Linked DNA regions of Caenorhabditis elegans. The protein of the gene in region 1 interacts with the protein of each later gene in a biochemical or structural test. Each region holds a gene or a part of one and is shown on either strand. Other genes may lie near its edges.

Evidence for each region.
Region 2: the proteins of wts-1 (region 1) and yap-1 form a complex in vitro, tested with the Caenorhabditis elegans proteins (one study listed by BioGRID).

The regions. Positions count from the first base shown.
Region 1 is NC_003279.8:10,287,678-10,300,056, forward strand, and holds wts-1 (Serine/threonine-protein kinase WARTS homolog), read right to left. Parts: upstream 10,251-12,379; 5' UTR 10,170-10,250; coding exon 10,047-10,169; intron 9,083-10,046; coding exon 8,825-9,082; intron 8,444-8,824; coding exon 8,186-8,443; intron 7,671-8,185; coding exon 7,462-7,670; intron 7,404-7,461; coding exon 7,298-7,403; intron 7,252-7,297; coding exon 7,144-7,251; intron 6,900-7,143; coding exon 6,333-6,899; intron 6,050-6,332; coding exon 5,709-6,049; intron 5,555-5,708; coding exon 5,194-5,554; intron 5,145-5,193; coding exon 4,953-5,144; intron 4,666-4,952; coding exon 4,462-4,665; 3' UTR 4,402-4,461; downstream 1-4,401. Other genes in the region: T20F10.2 (Si:ch211-1a19.3), read left to right, coding at 10,632-10,660, 11,598-11,667, 11,714-11,831, 11,881-12,046, 12,185-12,313, 12,363-12,379. UniProt on the Caenorhabditis elegans protein: Phosphorylates yap-1 which may negatively regulate yap-1 nuclear localization. Plays an essential role in larval development.
Region 2 is NC_003284.9:10,685,541-10,695,473, forward strand, and holds yap-1 (Yes-associated protein homolog 1), read left to right. Parts: upstream 1-6,402; 5' UTR 6,403-6,407; coding exon 6,408-6,560; intron 6,561-6,868; coding exon 6,869-6,937; intron 6,938-6,982; coding exon 6,983-7,104; intron 7,105-7,149; coding exon 7,150-7,210; intron 7,211-7,257; coding exon 7,258-7,358; intron 7,359-7,403; coding exon 7,404-7,609; intron 7,610-7,865; coding exon 7,866-8,161; intron 8,162-8,214; coding exon 8,215-8,322; intron 8,323-8,582; coding exon 8,583-8,705; intron 8,706-8,750; coding exon 8,751-8,840; 3' UTR 8,841-9,433; downstream 9,434-9,933. Other genes in the region: plpp-1.3 (Phosphatidic acid phosphatase type 2/haloperoxidase domain-containing protein), read left to right, coding at 9,779-9,877, 9,924-9,933. UniProt on the Caenorhabditis elegans protein: Plays a role in thermal stress response and in aging.

The DNA.
Region 1 (12,379 bases):
AGCAACAAAACATGTATACAGGAAAATAAAAATATAAACTAGCAACCCCCAAAAAAAAGTATAACGCGATGATGACTGCAGATTACGTTCTATAAATATGGGTGGAGGAGACGAGGCGAAAGTAGAAATGAGCGAGAAAAAAAAGATAAACCGATTTTAGCCGAATGCAGCAAATAGCTTTACTAGCTGGAATTTCACTCACCTGTTGGAGTGGAAAAAGTGACAGCCGTTTTTAGGTGGAAGTTAGAGTGAGAGAACGAGAGAAATATCATAGATTCAATGAATTTTTGATGAGGATATCAATGAGGGAACACTTTTTTGAGTACATTTTGAAACATTGTCTTTGCAGTTAGAGTTTTTGCATTCAAGAAGAAGTAGGCGGCTAAGCCTATAGGCCACCTACTTCAAATAATTTTTCTAATCAAATAATGGCTTCAAAAATAAACTATCTTTAAAAAAATGTTTGGATCAAAAAGTCTAGACAGTCTAGTTTTACTAGTTTAGTTTGAGTTATATTACTTGAAACTTCGAAAGAAAAATATTCTGAAAGTTTTTTGAATTTTTTTCGGAGCTATTTTGCTCAAGTTTATAAAACAATTATAAAACAAATATTTTTCAATTAAATCAACATTTCTGAAAATGGTAAAAATGTTCTTTTTTAGACAGTCCTGGTAGACTGCGAAAAAAGGCGATTGAATGTTTTATTCTGAAAACTTGAGGCTGTTTGCAAGCAATTAAAATTTTTGAACATGCTGTTGAAGCTTCATATTTTCTAAAAACACTATGTATTTATTGGATTTTTAAAACAGTCTAAAATCATTAAAAGTCGACAAAAAAGACTACAAAACTTAAAAAAAAGCTCAATAAAAATAGAAGCTTCGAAAAGTGCGGAGCATACAACAAAAGAGAATGTTTAGAAAGTTGATACCAGTAGAAAAAGGAACACGGATAATTGATAAAACGAGAAAAGTGGAATCTACAAACAAGAGAAACACTTAAACACATGGGGTTTCCGTGTCAATACATAAACTTTTTGAGGTCAGGTGACTCCTGTTTCTTACAAAAAAAAACTATTCAAGTGCATTGTTTCTTCGATGATAACGAATTTTTGGAAATGCCAAGAAAATGGTGGAACGGAGCAAAAAACTTGAAGTATGAATAGGACACATGTGTTTTCGAGCTGTGATGCCACGAGGCACCATATGTCTCTGGCAAATGACGTGGCATTGTGATTTGTTGGGTGGGTAAATGGGCGAGAAGATGAATGATATGGGAAAATTCAGGGGAAAATAAAATTTCAAATTATTTTTGAGGTTTTATGACCAAATTTGTAGTTTTTAAGTTTGACAGCCTACTTTTTTAAAATTATTTTTACTAAACCTTACAGCCTAGCTGTAACCCAAAATCAGGTAGAAAAAATAGTAGAATCTTCTGGTAGACTACAGAGGTACTAAAATTTTTAGTCTTGTGAAAAAAGTACAAGAGTGAATACTATCATAAACCCTAAAATACCCTAAAATGTTTATTGGATTTTTCTCGCATACTAAATTTCAGAAATACCATCATACCATCTCATTTATTATCGCGCTTGCTAGTAAAACGGCCGTAATAAAAATAAACAAAATATTGCGTTGGGCCTTTATAACAAGATTCTTTGAAATCTCGAGAGAAGGAAGCCGGAACCTGTCTTTTGTTTAAAAAAAATTGTCAGTTTTTTTGTTATCGGTGTTGTGAAACGAAGCATTGCTTAATATTTAAGTTTAAGTTAAAAAAAAAACATGAAAAACCACAAAACACAATAAAAAATTCAACCTAGCCAGGTGAGACTCAAAAAACTGTTTGACTTTAAAAAATGAAACACCGAAAGTCTCTGGATGTAAAGTGCACCAATTTGCACTAATTTATGAAATTAAATAAAAATTGTTGCACAAAGACAACTAAAATCAATTTTTAAATTTAAAAAGTAGAATTTAAATTCAAAAAATAAACTAAACCAAACCTTCTTTTCCTCTTTTGATGCCATGTGTTTCTTTTGTTTATCGCCTGTTCACTTTTTCCATGTGATTAATTTTATTATTCAGTGACACTACTGATAACTAACCCTTTTGTTGCATCAAAAAAGGAAAGGAAAAAGGAAAGACACTAAGCAGTAGAAAAATAATGTTAAACTGAAAGAAACCACGTCCCGGGCTTGCAAACGGTGTCGAAACTCTGCGAAACTAGCATAGTTGGTACATTCACATCCAATCAATAAGTGGTAGGACTCCTTCCGACCAAAACGTCATAAAGATTGCAGAAGGCGAAATTGAACATATGCCAACCATGCTGGTTGAAAGTTGGTACATACACAAACTTGGTAGATGTTTAATACAATACAATTTCTCTGTCGGTACGCGAGAACATCTGGAGATGAACTGGAGATGTCATCTGGCATGCACAAAACAACTCGCACAAAAGAGAGGGGAGAACATAGCGATGCTGAAAGGGATAATAGACGGTCTGCGTCACTACAGTTTAACCTGTTTATCGCAGAAGGCGTAGGGAAAGGAGACAGTTATGTTGTGTGAGTCTCTCCACATGTTCACCCCCTAGAGGAGGCTCTCTTTGTAAACGCCGACTGCAGGCTCTGTTCATCTTTCCATCCGAACACCTAAACAACTTCTGTCATTCATTTTATCTTGTTTCACTTTTTATCCTTATCCTCCTCATTAGCATTTCATGGATTTTAAATCTTAATTCTTAATTCTTGAATTTCTTCGTTTCTTGACATTTCGTCAATAAAACTTGTTTCTTAAATTCCCTATTTTTCGAATTCGTCCATCCTTCGTCGTCGTCGTCTCGTCCCAAATCCCTTCCCATCATCCCATTCCATCCACCCGTCTTAATTCTTTAACTTCTTGACATTTCGTTAAGAAATATTGTTTCTCGATTTTTTTTTTTCAGGTTTACATCCAAGAACTTTTTTTCTTCAACATTCAGATCGAACAACTTTTTAAAAAACTAATTTTTCAAACAATTTTGCTTGATATTTGTAATATTTTCAAATTGTAAAAAACTCCTGAAACAATTTCAGATCGAAATTTTTGAGGTAGAGCTTTGCCGCTTAAAATTTTGCAGTAACATATCCTATGGAACATTTTCAAATGGCATCTTTCTCTCGCTTTGAAGTCTGACGGTAAAATGAAAACCTTCCCTTGTTAATAAAAACATCTTTATCGTAACAAAATTGCATCTATATTTTCTCTTTTCCTTTCAAGAAATATTCTCTTTTTAGCTTCAACTAAAATGTATCTTTTTACAGACCTCAATCAAACGACGATGCATGAAGGATGGATGGCATGGAAAAATGGAAGGAAAAATCCAAATCTGTAAGGATTTTTTGATGTTTTAACTAAACTGCAAGTTTTTACAGATGCTGAAAGATGTGATGGAACAAAATGGCGCTCAATGAATGGAAAGATCTGGACGATCGGGATGGATGGATGGATGGATTGGAACGATCGGTAGGGATTTGGGACGAAACGACGACGACGACGACGAAGGATGGACAAATTCGGGACGGATCGGGATGGACGGTAAGTGAATCCATCTTGCTCCTTCTTGTGAGTGTAGCGTCCCCGTTACGTTTACCTGGCTTGAACTGAACTGGTTTGCTTGAATCTTTCACTGTCCAATTTCTGAACCGGGTTCAAAAGTAGCAGGCAAGGGCTGCATTTTCGGATTTACTGCTACCCCCTGAGTTGATTTGTTTGGAAACAAGCAAATCTTGTACCGTACTCAGAGGCAGTGAAATCGATTAATCTCTTAATGGGAAATGCGAACTCCTGCGAAAATAAGAACAAGGAGACTGGAAATAGCGTCAAACAGACGAGGGCTTATCGGACGGTTCTTGCCACATAGGTAAATTGTAATGGGCGATGCTGCGCAGTTCTAACGGTACAGAACATCACTTGAAGTGCTATACGCTATACGCTATACGCTATACGCTATACGCTATACGCTATACGCTATACGCTATACGCTATACGCTATACGCTATACGCTATACGCTATACGCTATACGCACTGTAAATTCAGAGACTTTCGGTGTAATTCCGAAAGACGAAAAACCAGTAATAATTTCTCAATGTGATTGATTTTATTGGCACTACTGACAACTGATCCACTTTTTGCATCCAAACATAGAATGTTTAATTTCTAAAAATTTCATTGAATAAAAATTCATTTGAGCAAAAAAAAAACGAACGAAATAGTGTGGCGACATGAGAGAAAAAGAGAAAAGAAAAGAGATATTAAAAATATCTCGAATTCTGAAAACCGTATCGAGATCATCACAGAATTAGTAAAGAGGGTAATTTGGAAAATTAAAGATAAAAATAGAAGCAAAATGAGTAAAAAATGATACTAAAACATCACATTAAAATCATATATAATATAATCAATAAACAAATTCATGCTCTTTTAAATATGAGACGATGAATCTTCTTCCGACACTGACTCATTAAAAGTTCCGTTTTCAAGTAATGGCCGAAGTGACCGACGACGAGATGGTCGAAGTGATGGGCAACCAACAGAATCCGTATCAAAGAAATGACGATAAGTGAATTCATAGAAGGCTGGATTATGAAGACCTCGCACATTCGGCTTGTCAGCACGGTCATTGTCCTGGAAATTTGGAATTAGAAGTGTGATAGGTTTTGAAAGAAAACTTTTCAAGATTCCAAATTTAAGTTAAAAATTTGAGTAGTGAAACTCAATTATGTTTTTATTGGAGCTGCTATGTATAATAGTTTCAGAAACTCCACAATTAATTTACTTTAATTCAAATAAAAATTCTGTATTTCAAACTCAAATATTCATAATTTTGATGCTATCTTTTTTATGTCTACATACATAAAATTATATCTAACTTTTTTAGACACTCTAAACAAAGTTTAAAAGGAAAAACTCACTTGAAACGTTTCAAAATTAGAAGTGTCTTCATCGTGAGTGACCCGAGGAATATAAATATAATCAGCTCTCAGTTTTCTCAAGTTAACCCAGTCAATTCCCCTGAACCATGGATGATTTTTGACTTGTGCCGTTCGTTCGGCAACATCCTTCCCGTGAGATCCCAATCTTGACGACGCGTCACAAATTAGTTGCTGAAAAAGTTTTGGTCTTCACAACGTCTATTTAAACAAAAAAACTTACTTGAATCATCATAAGGCACTCTTTTGATAGATTTCCACAATATGTAAAATCAAGGAAGTTTCTCCAATTCTTAATTCGATGTTGTGTTCCACCAGGTGTATCATCATGAAATGGCACTCTTCCAAATACCATCTCATACAAAATCACTCCAGTCGACCACCAATCACAACTCTGATTGTGCCCGGTTTTGGCAATTACTTCGGGTGCCATGTAATTTCCTGTTCCAACAAGAGAATGGGCGGTTATCCGGCGGGTTTGTTGTCGAACATTTAGAACTTTAACGCTTTTATCAATAGCTGCAACTTCAGGAGGAAGCGAGAATGAATCGACACGATGATGGTCGTTTTCAGGTCCATAGTATCTAGAAAATATTGGATGGTTTCATGTGTGACTTAAATATTTTTTGCACAGATGTTGAGCACACCAACTACAATTAATCATTTGCGTCGCGCCTAGGCTCTATTCCATTAGACACCCTCTCTTTCTCGTGACAAATAAACAATACATAATCTTACCTTCTGTCATGAGTCCACCTCAAACCAGTGCACAATCCAAAATCAGTCAACTTAATATGTCCATGTTGATCAATTAGAATATTATCCGGTTTCAAATCTCTATGAATAAATCCAACATTATGAACATATTCAATTGCACATGCCAGTTCAGCAATGTAGAATCTAGCGAGATCTTCTTCAAATATTCCTTTTTGAATCAATAAAGTCATCATATCTCCTCCGGGAACATATTCCATTATGAAGTATAGACAAGCATCATCTTGAAATGAGAAGAAAAGACGAACAATCCAAGGAGAATCAGCTTCTGCCAGAATATCGCGTTCGGCTTTCACATGGGCGGCCTGAAAGAAAATGGTGTTTTTAGTCAAAAAGTTTTGAAATTATTTTTCGATCATATCGCTTTACAGTCACATTTTAAAAACTACTAGACTCACAATATATCTGATATATTTTCCTACTAGTAGCAAATATAGAATCAATTAAATTAAAAAAAAAAAACCTAGAGTATCAAAAATGTTAGACTTTGCAGTTTTCTTACTTTCTATTCAAGGTTTTATTTCAAACGTAGGACACCAATATTTTCAAATTTTTAAACCAAGATCCTAAACAAATAACAAATCCTACCTGTTGTTTCATTATGACATCCGCTTTTTCCAAACTTTTCATTGCATAAACCTTCCGAGTATCATTTTTTCGAACCAATGAAACTTTTCCAAATGCTCCAACACCAATATGTGAGATGACAGTGAAATGGCTTTTACTCATCTTTTGTCTTCTTAATCTCGTATATTTTGACTCTTTTTGTTGAAGTAATCCCAGCATTTTATTCCTCATAATATCCGGTAATTGAGCTGAAACCATCTCCTTTTCCAACTGTTTCATTCGTTTTTCTCGTTCTTTATATTGCTGTAGAAGTCGTTCAACATGTTGTTCCATATAAAATCGAAGCATATTTGGTTTACATGGTTGAACTCTTCGTGTATTCTTGATGTATGGTTCCAAAAGTGTTCGATCAATTGGGGAGCTGACTCGTTTCGGAGGTGGCTCACTGGGTTGATTGTATTGAGGAGGAGGAGGTTGAGCACGTGATTTCATTGTGATTTCGAGATTTCTTGGTTTGAAAAGGATCGGCCGGAAATCTTCATGATTTGCATCGGAAGTGGATGGAATCAGGCGAGGGTCGGGACGCAGCTGAAATCATTTTATTTTTAGGGTTTATCCCCGAACTTTATAACAATTATTGTTCTATTCATAAAATTCAACTGGGCTCTCGAAACCGATTCTAAAGTAGTTTTGCAAATTTTTGCTGATTATGGGTGTCTGCGAAGACAAAACTTTTAGTCTCTTATATTTTATGAGCTCTGTCAAAAAAATGACTCTAGAAATATCAGTTAAATATTTCAGAAGGTAGGAGTTGAATTTTTCTCAAATTTACCTCATCTTTATAGTTGACAAAATTCTTCCTATCGACATCAGCTGTATACCGTGGACCAATAATGAATGATTTGCTTGGAAGAGGACTATCACCAACATTTACTTTTGTCTGAAATTAAAAATGAATTTTAATATCATTTGAGGTCATAAAATACCGTATGAGGAGAAGCAACATTGATACTAACAACACTACTAGCTGTTTTTTTGTCCATTGATGTATGATAAAGTCTCTGGATATTATCTGCTTTTCGTTCTTCACTCCTGAAAAGTTAAAGCAAAAGATTTATAGAATCCTTCTGATATCGTTTAGAAAACTTACATTGTCTCGATGGAAATCGTAGATTTTGCTGGAGGAGGCGGTGGGGGTGCCATATTCTTGTTGTGATTGAGCATTGTTGGATTCGGTGGTGGCGCTTTTACAACAGGATGAACTTTCATATGCAGGTGAGTACGGTAGTTGTCTGTTGCAACTGGAGTCATTCTAGTGTTCACCGGAGATGAATCGTAGGCTGGTGGAGGTGGTCGAGACTGAAAATTTTCATTTATTAAAGTGTCAGGTCTGCCTACTAGGGGTGTTTGTGTGTACTTTATTGGACTCTTTAATTTATTTTACAAAAAAAATTTCAGAAGTTATGAACAGGTCACAAGAAGGTCCCCCTATTGCTTGAACTAGGAGTATTTTTCAAAGAAAGTTTTGGTCCATTTTCTTTTCAGCTTAAACTTTCAAACTTTGTCAATTTGGAAGTATATTTTGTTACTAATTTTAGTTGTTCACACGTGTCTCGCCGTTGATTAAAGTGCCTTTTCAGTTTACGGGTGCACTAAATATTATCAAATATGTGACCGAAAATGTAGCCAAATCAACAGAAAAACATGGAACGAACGACCAAAATATGAAAAGTGATAATCGCATTGACAATTTGGACTTTTTTCAAAACTGAACCACCGCAAACCAATTTTTTTAAAACAAAATTTTAAGTGGGACTTCTCAGAAAAAGTACTTTCCGATTCTTTAGTATTATATTTTTTCGAGAACAACTTACATATCCTGGTGAGTATTGTGGTGCATTGTTATTCATATGATATGCAGGAGTTGGCATATCATATCGATATCCAGCAGGATGTATCCTAATCGACTCTTCAGTTGTTGTAGAAGGTGTTGATGATATAGTTGTTGATGGATTTCCATTTCGAATCATCTCTTTTCCACTTCGAAATACTGTCTCATTGGCACCAGTATCCATCATTAAATGTCTTTGTGGCATTGGTGTTATCCGCATCTTGTGACCACCACCTTCTGTCTGAAAATATGATTTTTTCACTTTTGAACCACCACCCTTCACCACTTTTGAAGATCATAAATCGATTCATAGTTGACAATTTTCATAAAATCCCAAAGTTGAGCTGAGCCACCTATTTCATAATTTTTTATTCAATAGAATTTCTAGCTAGTTTGCTACAATTCCATTCTTTTTTTTTTCGAAGAAAAATATGACGCTTTCGGCCGGTCTATGTATAAATTTCAAAAAAGTTATGTTTTTTTTGGGCATACGAACTGACCTAGACGGAAAATTTGACGGACAATTTTCCCAGCCAATCGAATTTTATTTTTTACTCTCAAAATGTTTTTCCATTCGATTTCCAGGACCATTTTTGATTAAAAAAAAAGAAATGTGACTCACTCTAAAAGAATTCGAATTTGATACAGCAGCGCTCGAGACTGTCGTCGTCGTCGCTGCTGCATTTGAAGAAGAAGACGAAAAATTCATCACTTCCGCATTGTCATTGGTGATGTCAGAATGGCTGACGGAAGAACTTGACGGTGTTGCAAGTGATCCAAGAGCCACGTGACTTGATAATAAACCGGCTTCATGTTCGTAAGCTTTCAGCGATTCGCGAATTTCGTCGAGTTTTGCACGATGACGCCCCACGCGGATTTCCTGGAAAAACAATTGGTTTAATTAGTTATGCCAAATTATGGTACCACTGCCCAGATGCGAATTTTTTAGAATTTTTGTAAAAAAAGGATTTCTTTAAAGCAAAAAACTTTGCGTTTCTATGGAAGTTTTCAATGTTTCAACACTGAAATTGTACATTTTTCTGAGCAATTTATATATTTTTCATATGAAAAATACTGATTCATTGATTACGAAACTATTAAAAGGTGATGCTTCTAAATGGAATTTTAGGTGATTTCATTTTCTTATCAAAACCGCCATTCCAAGTGATAACGTCTGCCATGAAAGCCCCGCATTGTCTCGGAACGCCAAAGTGTTGAATAAGAAAGGGTGAAGTAATTTTGAGGATTTTTTTTTAAATTTTAATGAGTTCTACGAATCTTGAACAGATTTTGAAATTCAAATCAGGAAAAAAAAACATGGAACTGCAAAAAAAAATGATTTGCGATTATAGATGTATTTACAAACAATAGCAAAGCCAATATAATTTAAAAGAAGACCTTTTGAATAGGACCCCACAAAAAATTTAGCAACAGAAGAGCATTTTGAACTAGAAAAAATTGGTCCGAAAATGCTAGAGGTAATTTTTAAGTTAAATAATTTTTTAAACGGAAATCTGAAAGCATTTTGATCGAGTTGATTAGGGGGAGAACATTTTTAAAAATTTTATTAAAACTCCTAGAATTTTCAATTGCTCTTAATCACTGAAAAACAACATGTCTGCAAAAAATAGCTTTTGGAGCAAGTCTACAGCTCTCGAAAGTTGTGAAAAGAGCACTAAAAAGTTTCAGATCGTGACACTTTGCCGCTTAAAATTTACAACGATCTAGTTTAAAGGTCCTCTTTCAAATGACACATGGTTCAGCTGAAAATCTAGGGAGTGATCAAGCCAAACAGATCAAGATCTGAATCAATAACCCAATCACTTTTCCAAACCAAAACCTACTGAATTGTGATGGGCATCTATCGCTGAATTAGTAGAGCCAAATGGGATCGGAGCAACTCCACGTTGATGTCTGATATCAGAAGATGCACCATTTGGAGTAGTACCAGGGGCAGCAGGTCGCATTCCAGGGGAATACAATGCAAAGGAGGGCCTCCTGCCGAACACTGACAAACACACACACGGAGAAGGCGATGGGAATGGATTGAAGTAGAAGAAGAAGAAGGTGAAGAGATAGAATGAAATGATGAGAGAGACAGTGATACAAAACTTTCTGTGTCTCTTATCGTTATGTGGTCTCTTTGCTTCCCGCCGCTCTCTCTCTGACTCCCGCAGGAAGAGGAGAAAAGTCTTTACTCTCTTTTGCAGGACATCTCTCTTTGTCTTATTCTCTCGTGTTGTCTCTTCCAACATTCCTCATCCCTCGTCACTCTAACATCTCTCCCCGACTCTCCAACCTTCTAGTGCTCATTTTCTGCCGTTTAGTTTCCAACACATTTAGGACGCCTGTGTCTCGGAACCTCTCGCCGTATCATCAGCGGCCATCATCGCCCGTCGAAAAGACATACTTGCCGGTATCCCCCCGTCATGTCATCCAGCAGAAAGCCTCTCATACGGTAAGTTTTTAGAAGCTTTTTATAAAACTCTGTGTTTGAACAAATATTTTTAAAGATGTTTTCCTGTTTAAAATTTGAATTGAAAGCCGATTTTGAGAACAACTTCGAAGTGTTGAAAATTTTCCGGATTCAAAAATGTGCACAATTTGTAAAATTCACCAGCTTTACTGAATTTAAAACAAATTTTTAACATCTGTAGAAAAGGGGTGCTCCTTGCCCTCGCCGGTAGTGGAGAGGCACTCCAGGCGCCCCTGTTACTGTCGACTGTGCCTGCGTACTTTTGAGAATATATATTACCTTCAACATCTATATTTTAAATACTGAATATTGGAATTTTCCGACAAAAAAATTACTCTGGCTTAAATTCTCAACCAAGTTTTCAAATTGTTTCTGTAATTTTGCATAAGACCCAGTAAGTGCTATAGTACATCATCAGCTTTTGTAATTGAATTAGAAATACGTACTCAAGTGATTTTAGGTTAAAACTGGAAATTGGAGTTGTAATTTTTTCACTGGAATGATAACTCTATATATTACTACTGAAAGAGTCACAACTCTGTAGTTTTTCTTATTTAAAATGCAGTTTTGAAAAAATAACAGTAGACATAAGCTTGATACTCGAATTTTCTTGTATTGACTCAGTTTTCTGTGTTTTTATGAATTTTGATGATTTTTTAAATCAAACAACTATGCATTTCCTCTAATTCTACTACAAATCCCCTTTAATCTCCGTTTTTTTGCATTCGTCAGCCTATCAAAAATCGATGTCTCTTTCCTTTTTGTATCTATGACATCCACGCAGTCTTCCGTTTGCATAAAAACGAAACGGTGCGCCGCAGATGTCGCGTGGCTTTTCCCTTTTTTGTAACCATTAAACAAACATATAGATACATAGAAGGACAACGTTTAAATAAATATTCAATTTTTTTTCTTTCAGGAGCAGTTCACACTCGGATCGTCCTACTACAATGAGGAATTGGCCCCTTTTTGTATTTCTTATTTGCCTGGTAATATAATTAACAAGAAGTCAATGAAATTATACACTTTTTGCAGGTATTATTCTTTTACGCATTCTACGTATATCAAGCTCAAGGAGAAGTTTTATCCCAGACAAACGAAGAAGTTCGACAACTATCCGCCCAGCTGAGTCTCACCAAAGGAAAGCTTGTTGGTTAGTAATTTTCTGCCGTTTATCTGAAAATATAGTATCGTTTCTTTAGGAAGTATGGCAGATTTGGAATCAGCGAATAGTGAGAAGAAGTCAGTGTCAATTCAATTGGATGATATTACAAAGAAGAACGAAGAGTGTATGACATCCTTGAGAAATACGAAATTGAGAGTTGATACACTTGAAAAAGACGGAAAATCGAATACCGATAATTATACGTGAGTTGGGGAAAAATAACTACAGTAATAATCTACACTACTCCAATCAAAAACAATTCAACAAAAATCAACCTTAGAGCTCAGTTCATTAATTAAATGAATATATTTCTCCCAAATTTAAATAACCAACACTTTCAGAAAAATGCAAGAAGAACTATCAGCGCTCAAGGAAAAAGCTGAAGAGCTTCAACGAAACAACACTGCATTGAATTCTCTTGTCTCCACACAAGCACAACTCATCAACCAACTCAATCAGACTATTGGAATGTAGGTTTCAATTAACGTTACCAAAATATAATTTGTTTTTATTTTCCAGTATTCAATTCGAAAAGG
Region 2 (9,933 bases), on another chromosome or scaffold:
GTATTTGTAGTCCCTCAACGAAATCTTGGATGAATTTATCTGAAAAAAATGAAAGCACCAAATCAGCTAATGTTTTCCAATTATTTCAATTAGAGCCTGCATTTTGCACGTTTTCATTATTTTTGCAGACCATTTCATTTCCAGGAAAATCAATTAGAGTGATGTGGTTTTGAAATCACAGCTCGACATTTTCGGTCACCTGGAAATGGGTCGGGCTATAACTTGTATTATAAAAGTAGTCAGTTTGTGTGCATTACTTTTTTGTTGTTGATTGTTTCCATAAGAAACAATATTTTTTAATTTATAAGATCATATTTTAGTTAAAAAAAGTGTATACTAATAAAAAACATGTATAAGTGCATACATATTTTTTTCCGGGCCTTATCTTTTAACAGAATGTAGTTTGAAGTTAAACTACTTAAGTTTTAAAAAAGTTGCTTCTTTTGTTGCTTTGTTTGGCTGAGGAGCCCAAAAATAATAAAAATGGAGTTAAACAAGTCAATGAACATTTATTTTCCGGAATGCGTTCCGATAATATACTGATAATACAAAAGATCCATTTGTACCGCTCACACACTTACCGATGATTCATTGAATTATTAAAAAAGGTTGTTCCTTATTGATCTTTAAACTTTGCTCATGCTGAAACAGATCCTTCATCAAATACCCTTTAAGATTATTGTATTTGCAATCTGTGCTCTTTGGACTGTTCCACTTTTCTCAGTTTCTCTGAGCGCCACCACGAAAGCTGAACTGCCTCAATGAGCTGAACAGCTTGTTAATTTTGTTTACCTTTGGCGGGGCGTTTCAAACATTTTGAACTGAGTGAATTTGATGAATTGTTTACATTTTTAAAATCAAAAAACTAGGTATTTACAAAATGTGCGTTGGTGTTCGGAACAAAATGTCTAATTAAATATATCTTTTCTAATCACAGATAAGTATCGTATCAGTTTTATTTGATTTTCTATGTTTTTTTTTCTATTTTTAGCCGTTTTAGTACCAGTCGCCCACCACCATTGTTGCGGGTTGTGGAAAAGAAAAAAGAGAGAGAGAGAGGCATCACATCAAAAAAAACCGCCTTATTCCAAATGGTCAGAACGATGCCAATCGGTGACTCATCTGTTTTGCGCAACTTTCTCATCGTCTTCTTCCCATTTTCGATGACAAGAAACCGTCTCTTCCTGTCCATCTTGTCAAGTCTTGGAATATCCGAAACAGGCAGCGCTGAGATCTTCAGAAATGAAGGCCGTTTAATATGCCTTACCACCAACTGACCTAGTATCTTTTGGTCTTACTGTTGTTGCAAAACTTGAAGATTTTTTCTTTCTAAATTACCTCAGTATATAGTATTTTTTGATAATTTTTGAGAACCCTCACAAATTTACAAGTTTTAGTGGGCAGTCAATTTGCCACCAAACAATAAACAAACTTGTTGAACTAAGATTTTATTCTACTATGTCTTGTGGAACTCTTCAACATAAAAACAGAAAAGTTGCATCAAAAAGTGGAATTTATGGCTGTAAAAATATAGAATTATGCAATTACGTTGTGATTATTTTGAAATATAAAATAAAATCTGTCAACGTACACATTAAAATGTCTGAAAAGTTTTGTACTGTTCCGAAGTTCCCAACCAAGAAAAATAAATGAAACCAACCCTGTATATTGCATTTCTAAATGCAGATCAGAGGCGCGCGGCAACTGCTTTTCGCCAATTGAAATTACGGCACTTGCCAATATTGCCGAAAATCTCCGATTTCCACGCACCCATGATTCAAATGTTAAACGGAAAACATGTTATCAGGAAGTTAAAAACTGTTCAAACCAACTACACCTCTTTGCCATGTTCCCTTCTTCCTGTTTTTGGCAGAAGAAACCCAACATTTGCCACTTTTTAAATTTGTCATCGTTATGTTAACTTTTTCAGAATGAAGCGTCATTTAGCGTTCTAAACACCGTTGAAAATGCTAACTCATGTGACATGGATGGTAAATAAATATGTGACACTGATAGAAATACAGTTTTTATCAGGCATGCTTCCCACCTCGACAACCCCACCCAAAGTTGTCGATTTTGACTCAATTTTTATATAATTTCACGAATAGTTCAAATTCTTTACATTGCGTATGCTTGTTTCGTTTCCAACACAGCGAATAAGTCTCTCCTTGCTTTTATAGTAAATTTAATATTCATTTATTTTAATTACCTAATCGAACAAAATTATTGATTTATTATTTCTGTATTTTAATGATACTTTCAGCGAATTTAAAATCTGAGCATTTTAATACAATTAAACTTCAATTATAAATGAAGTGTACATTTTTAGAACATAATCAAAAAGAACATAATCAACCTTTGTCGAAAAAGATACATCTTTTCATCTTATAAAGGTTAAAAAACATGAGTTTTCATTTTACACAGGTTTTTTGAAACTAGTTTTATAGTCAGATATAATTTTGATTAATTTCAAAACAAAACGTTTTGTATTAAAACTATGTCAAATCCCTACTCATAGTTTCACTCATATTGAGCAATTGAGCAATTTACTTGCAGTCTTTATTATAAATACGCCCGTATTGGTGTTGATTAAAGGCAATAACTTTTCAAATCATAATAATTTTCGAGAATTCGAATTCTAATAAGGAAAATACGGAAAATCAATGTTTCGTTTTATGAACAGTACGCCATTTCGCGGTGGCCATTTAAATGTTTTCTGAATAGTTTGAGTTATAGAAACATAGTTTTAAGATTGATGGTGTAAAGGATGATAAAGTGCTTGAGTGGTGAGCCGGACACGCGTGGGTGTCCTCTTTCTCTCGGTTTTCCCCGGAGCTGCACATGTCTCCGTTATAAATGAAAAATGCGCTCGTTATAATGACAAAAAACAAAAAGAACCTTTATTCATCAGCCAGTGATTCTTACAAATAACGTCTCCCAAGGTTCACTGTTACCACCAATAATTTTCACTTTCACTACGTCTATACTTTTTCTTCATGTCTCGTTTACCCTTTTTAAAGGTCTTGTGTTCAATGGGGCGGGAAGGAAAATATGATTAGCTGCTTGGATACGATCACGTGAACTTAACCCGTGAAAGAATACGGTATTGGCGGAAACATGAGTTATATTTTTCACTTGATGAAAACAAAATCGTTTAATAAATTACTACTACTACTATTTTCAATCATCTCGTACTCAACTCGTGCAATTATCTGTTTAAAGGAAACTGCGTGTGCGTTCAAATTTTTTTCCCATACAAAATATAACTGCGACTAATTTTTCAAATAAAGATGCTCAAGTGATCTTTTCGGATTTACCTAATAAAAATATATAATTTCTTTTTTTTCACAATTTACACCATTTGTTGTGTAGGAACTCTAATTAATTGTTCGATACAATAGAATTTCCCTAATATAAAATGGTTTATAATTTTTTGAAAATGCCCGTGGCTGCCTTTGGCAAAACCTTTATAAAGTTAAGCTAAAAATGTGGGAGTAATAGTTGTTGTCATATGTTTCACACAATGTCAAAAATTGAATCCAAGGAACCCTAAAAGTCTAATTTGACCCTTCTGTGCACTAAGGCAAACCGACTGACTTCATTCAAGACTAAATGCAAACAGTTTGGTGCGGTCTGATGTTTGAACAATTTTAATGGACACTGACAATTGAGTTAGACTAAAATCAAAACACAACTGAGTCTTCCCATTTCATTGTAGATATTGAGTGGGCGGAAAGTGTCTGTCATGTGAGCCAAAAACCGTCACTTTCCTATACTAGGGTTATGATGTGTTGTTGCTCACTTGTCCACTACTTGAGTTTTTCATGCTCTTTTTTGTGAAACTGTTTGTTTTTCGCGTATCAGACTACATATATTGTCCGAGAAATGTCATCCTCAAACATCAAAATCTTAAGTCAATTTTTCAAAACGATTTTTTCTTTTTGATAATAATGTTATCTTTACCATGCATATTAAATAATACCTCACTTTGTATGCAATTTCATAACACTTCCGTTTTGTAACTCCGGTAATTTAAAATTAAAGAAGATAGAACGTTTAAGACCAATTGAATTTTTTATTTCACAAAGCAAACCTGAATGTGTTTTATTTCACATTATTTATTTCCTGAAAAGTCAGCAGTAGTTTTTGCAAACCGTTTTCTATATTTTTCATTAATTTAGTTTGTCTCGTCATCACTTCCGGCATGAACGCAAGTGATAACTATTCGACTCTGCAAAATAATACCAAAGACAACACAACCATATAAAAAAATTAGAAACGTCATAGTTTTCACTGTATTTTCTTTCGTTTTTTTTTTGGTTTTTGCGTCTCTTTTCAATTTCCTATCTTTTCCATATTTGGATGACACACCACACCCGAAAATTTCCTTTGTTGCCTCACTGTGTCTCCTGAGAAACTTATAAAAGAGTGTGATCAGTCACAGCAAAAAAAAAAAACGTTAGAAGATGTTGTGGTCAACTTGATTGTTTATCTCACTTCGGTTCAATCAGTTCGGAACGGACTACGATGTTAGCCATCGAAGGGAAAGTCGAAGAAGATGAAGAAGAAAGAGAGGCGAACGGCGTATTTGTTTGTGCACTACTTGTGGCATTGTATGTAACACCCAGTACAAACATAAGTTCTAAAAGGATCGAGACTCTGCGACTCTTTACGTTTTGGAAACATTTCATCTTGATTTGTTGAAAAGTTTGGTGACGTAAAGGATGGGTTTTTGTTCAACTTTTGAGCCTCCAATAGTATTTATTATTGAGTTTTAAATTTGTAGCACAAATAGAAAATTGTTTCCAAATAAATTTATTTTTTGAGATTTTTGAGGAAGTTCAACACTTGTACATTCAAATGTTGAACGGTGCGTTCAACTTCTACAGCCCAACCTTCTGTTTTAAGTTGCACTTCTTTTTGATAATTGTTTTTTTTTCAGAAAACTGTTGATACCATTCAAATAAGCCGTTCCAAAAACTTTATCAATAAGTATCAAAAAAGTTAGGTGTAATAAACCATTGTGTAACTTTTATAGACCTCTGTATATTTTTTATATTTCAAAAAAAACCGAATGTTATGAAATTTCTCAAAAGAATACAAATTTTATTTTGAAATTAAAATTATTTTAAAAATTAACAAATATCAAATTTCATAAAACAAATTTTGTGAAAACTTTAGGGATCCCCAGAGCGTCCTGAAATTCTTTAGAGACCAGTTATTGGCTTCCGATTTTTTTGTGAGTACTGAACTTGACCGATCTGATTCATTTTATTTACTGATGATGCCGGGAATAAAACAATTCATGGCGAGCCATATTAAAATTCAAATTAAGATAATTAAGCTTTTAGTTAGGAAAGTACATATCTCAAGACAGTCGTTCCAGTTATGTTTAATCAACTTCATTATCAAGCGCAATTACCTTTATAACACGTATTGTTTCCAATTTGATTATATTGTCAACAGCTTTTATTTTTGGTCTGTGAAAATGTTAATTTCTTTGAAAAACTTAAAAACAAATTTTCAAAAAACATAACAATTTAGTTTGAAAAATATTTTTATTGCAGTTGTCTCAATCTATTTTAATCAATTTGTACAATGTAATTTATTGTGAAAAGCACTTTTTCAATTATTCCACAGCTAGGGTTTCCAGTAGTAGATGATAGCTTTCAACTCTTCCCAGATTCCGAGTGTTACAATCCTGCGGTCGGATCAGTCCATCTTTTTTCTTATCTCTGAACTGATCATAATAAGTTATTGGGAAGAACGACGGAGTAGTGGGGGAAAATAGAGGAAAAGAAGGTGGAGGCATCAGTCGCACCACACATACACGAACAATTGGTTGACCTTCTAGACACACGATTTCGTGTTCCTATCTTCTCTCGCACCTCAAGTCGACGTCTCCTTCTGATTCGGTTGCAATTGTATTAAACTGTCACTCCCCCCCCCCCCTTTACTTTTCCTCTAGTTTTCCTTTCTATTTCTCGTTTCCTCTCGTTTATATACAAAAACTGACCTTTTACATCCGTGGCGGGGGCGAACGATCGAGAAAGAAGAAGCATCGGGAGAACTTTTGTTGTTGTTTCGATCTTAGTTGTTTCGTTTTATTTATTTTTTCTTGCTGCCTTATTCCATTTTACTGAAATTGAAATGGTGTCTGTCCATCATGTTTTATTTGCCGGATGTGAGGGATGGAAACGCCTCCGATCTTCATGTCCTCCCAACTATTCTCTCGCGTTTTTTTGCCTTTTTTCCATCTTGTAACACATTATTATTGGTTTCCTATTGCCTTCGTTCTTTCGTTCCTTGCACGATTCACCTTGTTTCTTGATTTCACATTCTTCATTTTTTGTTACTATTTCAAATTTTTCATTTATTCACATCTAAATACAATTTTTGCAGGCTGGATGGCGTCCAAGAGCATTCATAAGAAGCACCAAGAAAATTCACAGCAAGATAAAAACCAATTCTCAGTGCATCATTATTTAGATCCAAATCAGAGTATTCATGCTTTAATTTCATGCTCAGAAAAAAAGTATGAAAAAAATCAAAATCAAAAGGTTTGTTCAAATTCTAAAAAATAATATAACTATAATAGAACTGAAAAAAATTGAGATCACATTTCATTACACTCAAATTGTTTTTACGGGTCAAATTGTTCGTACGAAACAAGAATTATTATTTGATTGCGTCACACTTGCCTTAATTGACAAAGAAGCTACTTATTTCGCAACACTTTTGTAACAGTTTGATTTTACAGTTGATAATGGGGTATATCGCAAAACAAGGATAATAATTAATTTGGTTTAATGGATATGCAAAAAGTTGTTTTTTTTTTGAAAATCACATGCCTCGTTTCAACTTTCAGAAAAATCCACTACCTTCATCATATTACCATCAGAAGCGGAATCCGGGAAGCAGTGCACATTCCCCTTATGTAAGTTTAAATTTTTGAAGAATAACACACCGGGTGAAATTTCAGGGATCAGTAGATGAAAGTAGTCGAACAGCCGTCAGCCCAGCTATGGATATGGTATCAAACCAAGCACCGATTCACACACGACAAGTCAGTGCACCGAACCTTCATACGAGTGTTAATAATGGGTAAACGATTTATTTTGAGACAATTCAAATCACAAATATTTGTAGCCAATCTTCCGCAACAGTACCACATCCATCTCATCACAATGTCCACCATCAACACTCAAAAGTGAGAAAAACTATGATTGTTGATTAAACTAAAAAAGAGTTTTACAGAGTGTTTCTGCATTACCAATGACTATTGGCTACTCTCCAGTACCTTCTCACGTAAAATCAGTATCTCATGAAGCAAATTACTCATATGCAGGACTCTCGGAGTATGCCATAGAATATTTCTGTTTCATTTCTAATATCAACTTCAGAATACCACAACAACAAGGAATGATGCAACAAAATCGGGAAAAGAGCTTATCGCTAGACCCAATGAGAAGGCCATTTATGACACCACAGGATGTTGAGCAGTTACCCATGCCCCAAGGATGGGAAATGTGTTACGACAGTGATGGAGTTCGGTACTTTAAGGATCATAACTCAAAAACAACAACGTGGGATGATCCTAGGCTAAAACGTAAGTTTTATTTATAACATACGATGAAACAAAAAAAGTTTGCAAAATATTTATAAAATATTTTGAAAATCTCTATTTTCATCGAACATTTTACTGAGTCTTATTCATATATAGCTCTGTTTTTTCTGACAATACTAGAAAACATTTCTACACGTTTTCACTGATTGTTATACCCTGTTTTTCTTCAGAAAAATTAGTATAAATAACTAAGGTTACAATCTGTTCACATTAAATATTAATTTATTTCAACTTTCAGAACAAGAACAAACTGGTTTTGGATTAGGAGAAAACATTGGCCAAAACCGATATAATAATTGTTACGACAATGGACACTCGTCTCGATCATTGCCCTCAATTCATCAGCACCAGCAGATGATTCCCAATCATCCACAACCACAATACTCTTCTCAGCAGCAAATGGATTATATTCAGCAGTTACAAAACGAACGAATGATGATTCAAGAGAAGAACGCGCAGCTGATCAATTCTGGACTTGTCGACAGTCCGCAACCACCATATCAAGCAATTTCCCCCATGTCATCAACTATGATGGTATTTGTTCTTAAGATACTAAAACAAATTTAATTGAGTATAACCAATTACAGCATTCTCATGATCCAAATTTCATGTACCAACAACAACAACAGGCTCAAAACTCTCAACAACAACAGACACCGCATACATTGCACCAGATCCCAAATCAATACCAAAATGTAAGATATTTATTATGATGTAAAATGAGAAATTCGTAATTGTCCAATCTTATGACATTTGTAAGCTGAAAAATTTTGAAGTCTCTCTAAAACGTGCCTTAAATTCAAAAAAAAAAAAGCCATTATTTGTTGATAATGCTTTAACCAAGACTATCTAATAATATCTAATAATTAAAGGAACGGCTGAAGTTACAGCTCAAATTGATATTAATAATTACTTAAGTTTATCTTTGAGAACAAATCAAAAACATATTTTTCAGAGTCAAATGAACGACGACAGTGCGATGGAAGTCGATTATTCCATGGTATCACACCCCCAGCAACTACAACATCAGCATCAACCACATATGCATAATAATATGCCTAGCAATTATGTAATCGATGTTTGTTTTTTTTTCATTATACTCAATTATTTAGACTAATTTCAGGATATCAATCCACACGAATTCGACCAGTATCTACAAATTAGCAACGATAACAATCGAGGAGTGGGATCAATGGTGCACCATTATCAATAAATGTCTAATCAGCAGAATAACCACTCTCTTTCTCTTTCTCTCTCTCTCTCTCTCTCTCTCTCTCTCTCTCTCTCTCTCTCTCTAAAACGTGCCTGTGTCTAGATTATAGCGACTTGTGATTTGAAATTTGAAACTTGAAGATTCATCAGAAAGTTTTTCAATTGTTTCCTTATTATATGTGATCATGTGCTCAACCCCGTTTCCAATACCTGCATTATCAATGTTTGTCCATACTTTCTTTGAAATTTCCCCTGCAAAAACGTAGTCATTCAGTAGTGAACCTTAACAATTTCCTAATCATAAAAGTTGCCAAAAAGAAATTTATCGATTAAAAAAGTTGACTTTTTGATTTTTTTGACTTACTTTGATTTACTTAATGGATCTGAAAAGAGAATTTTCAACCTTTCTTGAATAAAAACTCCAAATGAATTCAGTTGCTTTACCATATTAGAGTCACCAATTCCTTTCTTCCACAATTAGCTGCAATTTAGTTCAAAATACCTTTGTGATGTGATTTTTCTGTATTTTCCGCTCAAATTTTCTTTTTTTGTTCTACGTCTAATTACACTTAAATAAAATAAGACAAAATGGAAGAGATCATCAAGCATTTTTTTGATATCATGTACGATTGTTGATTTGTGTATTCTGAAACTTTTTAAAATATGCCTAACAGTTTCTGACTTCTGCTATTCAAGGTTCCAAATAAACAATTTATCGATTTCTCAATTTATGCACACGTTGTATATTGTGTTTGGCTACAGAGCGTTCCTCTCCTGACGTCACCACCACGCATCAGTTGGAGTGTGCAAACACGCTCCACTATACCCCTCCCCATTTTATTATTTTACCGATGTCGTTTTTTTTGTTTCATTTCATTTTACGTTCTATTTTTCAATTTATTTGTAATGTAATAATTTAGGAAAAATTTCAGAATAGAAATGTCAGAACGAGCGCTTCGAAGAACAACTTTTAGTGGTAGATTGCTTCGTTTCAAGGAGGAAGAAGAAGAAATTGATAGGAAAACTGCAATTGTGAAGGTATATCAAAATGTTTTGTTAGTATTAATAGAAATTTGTACTGCAGGGAGGAATTT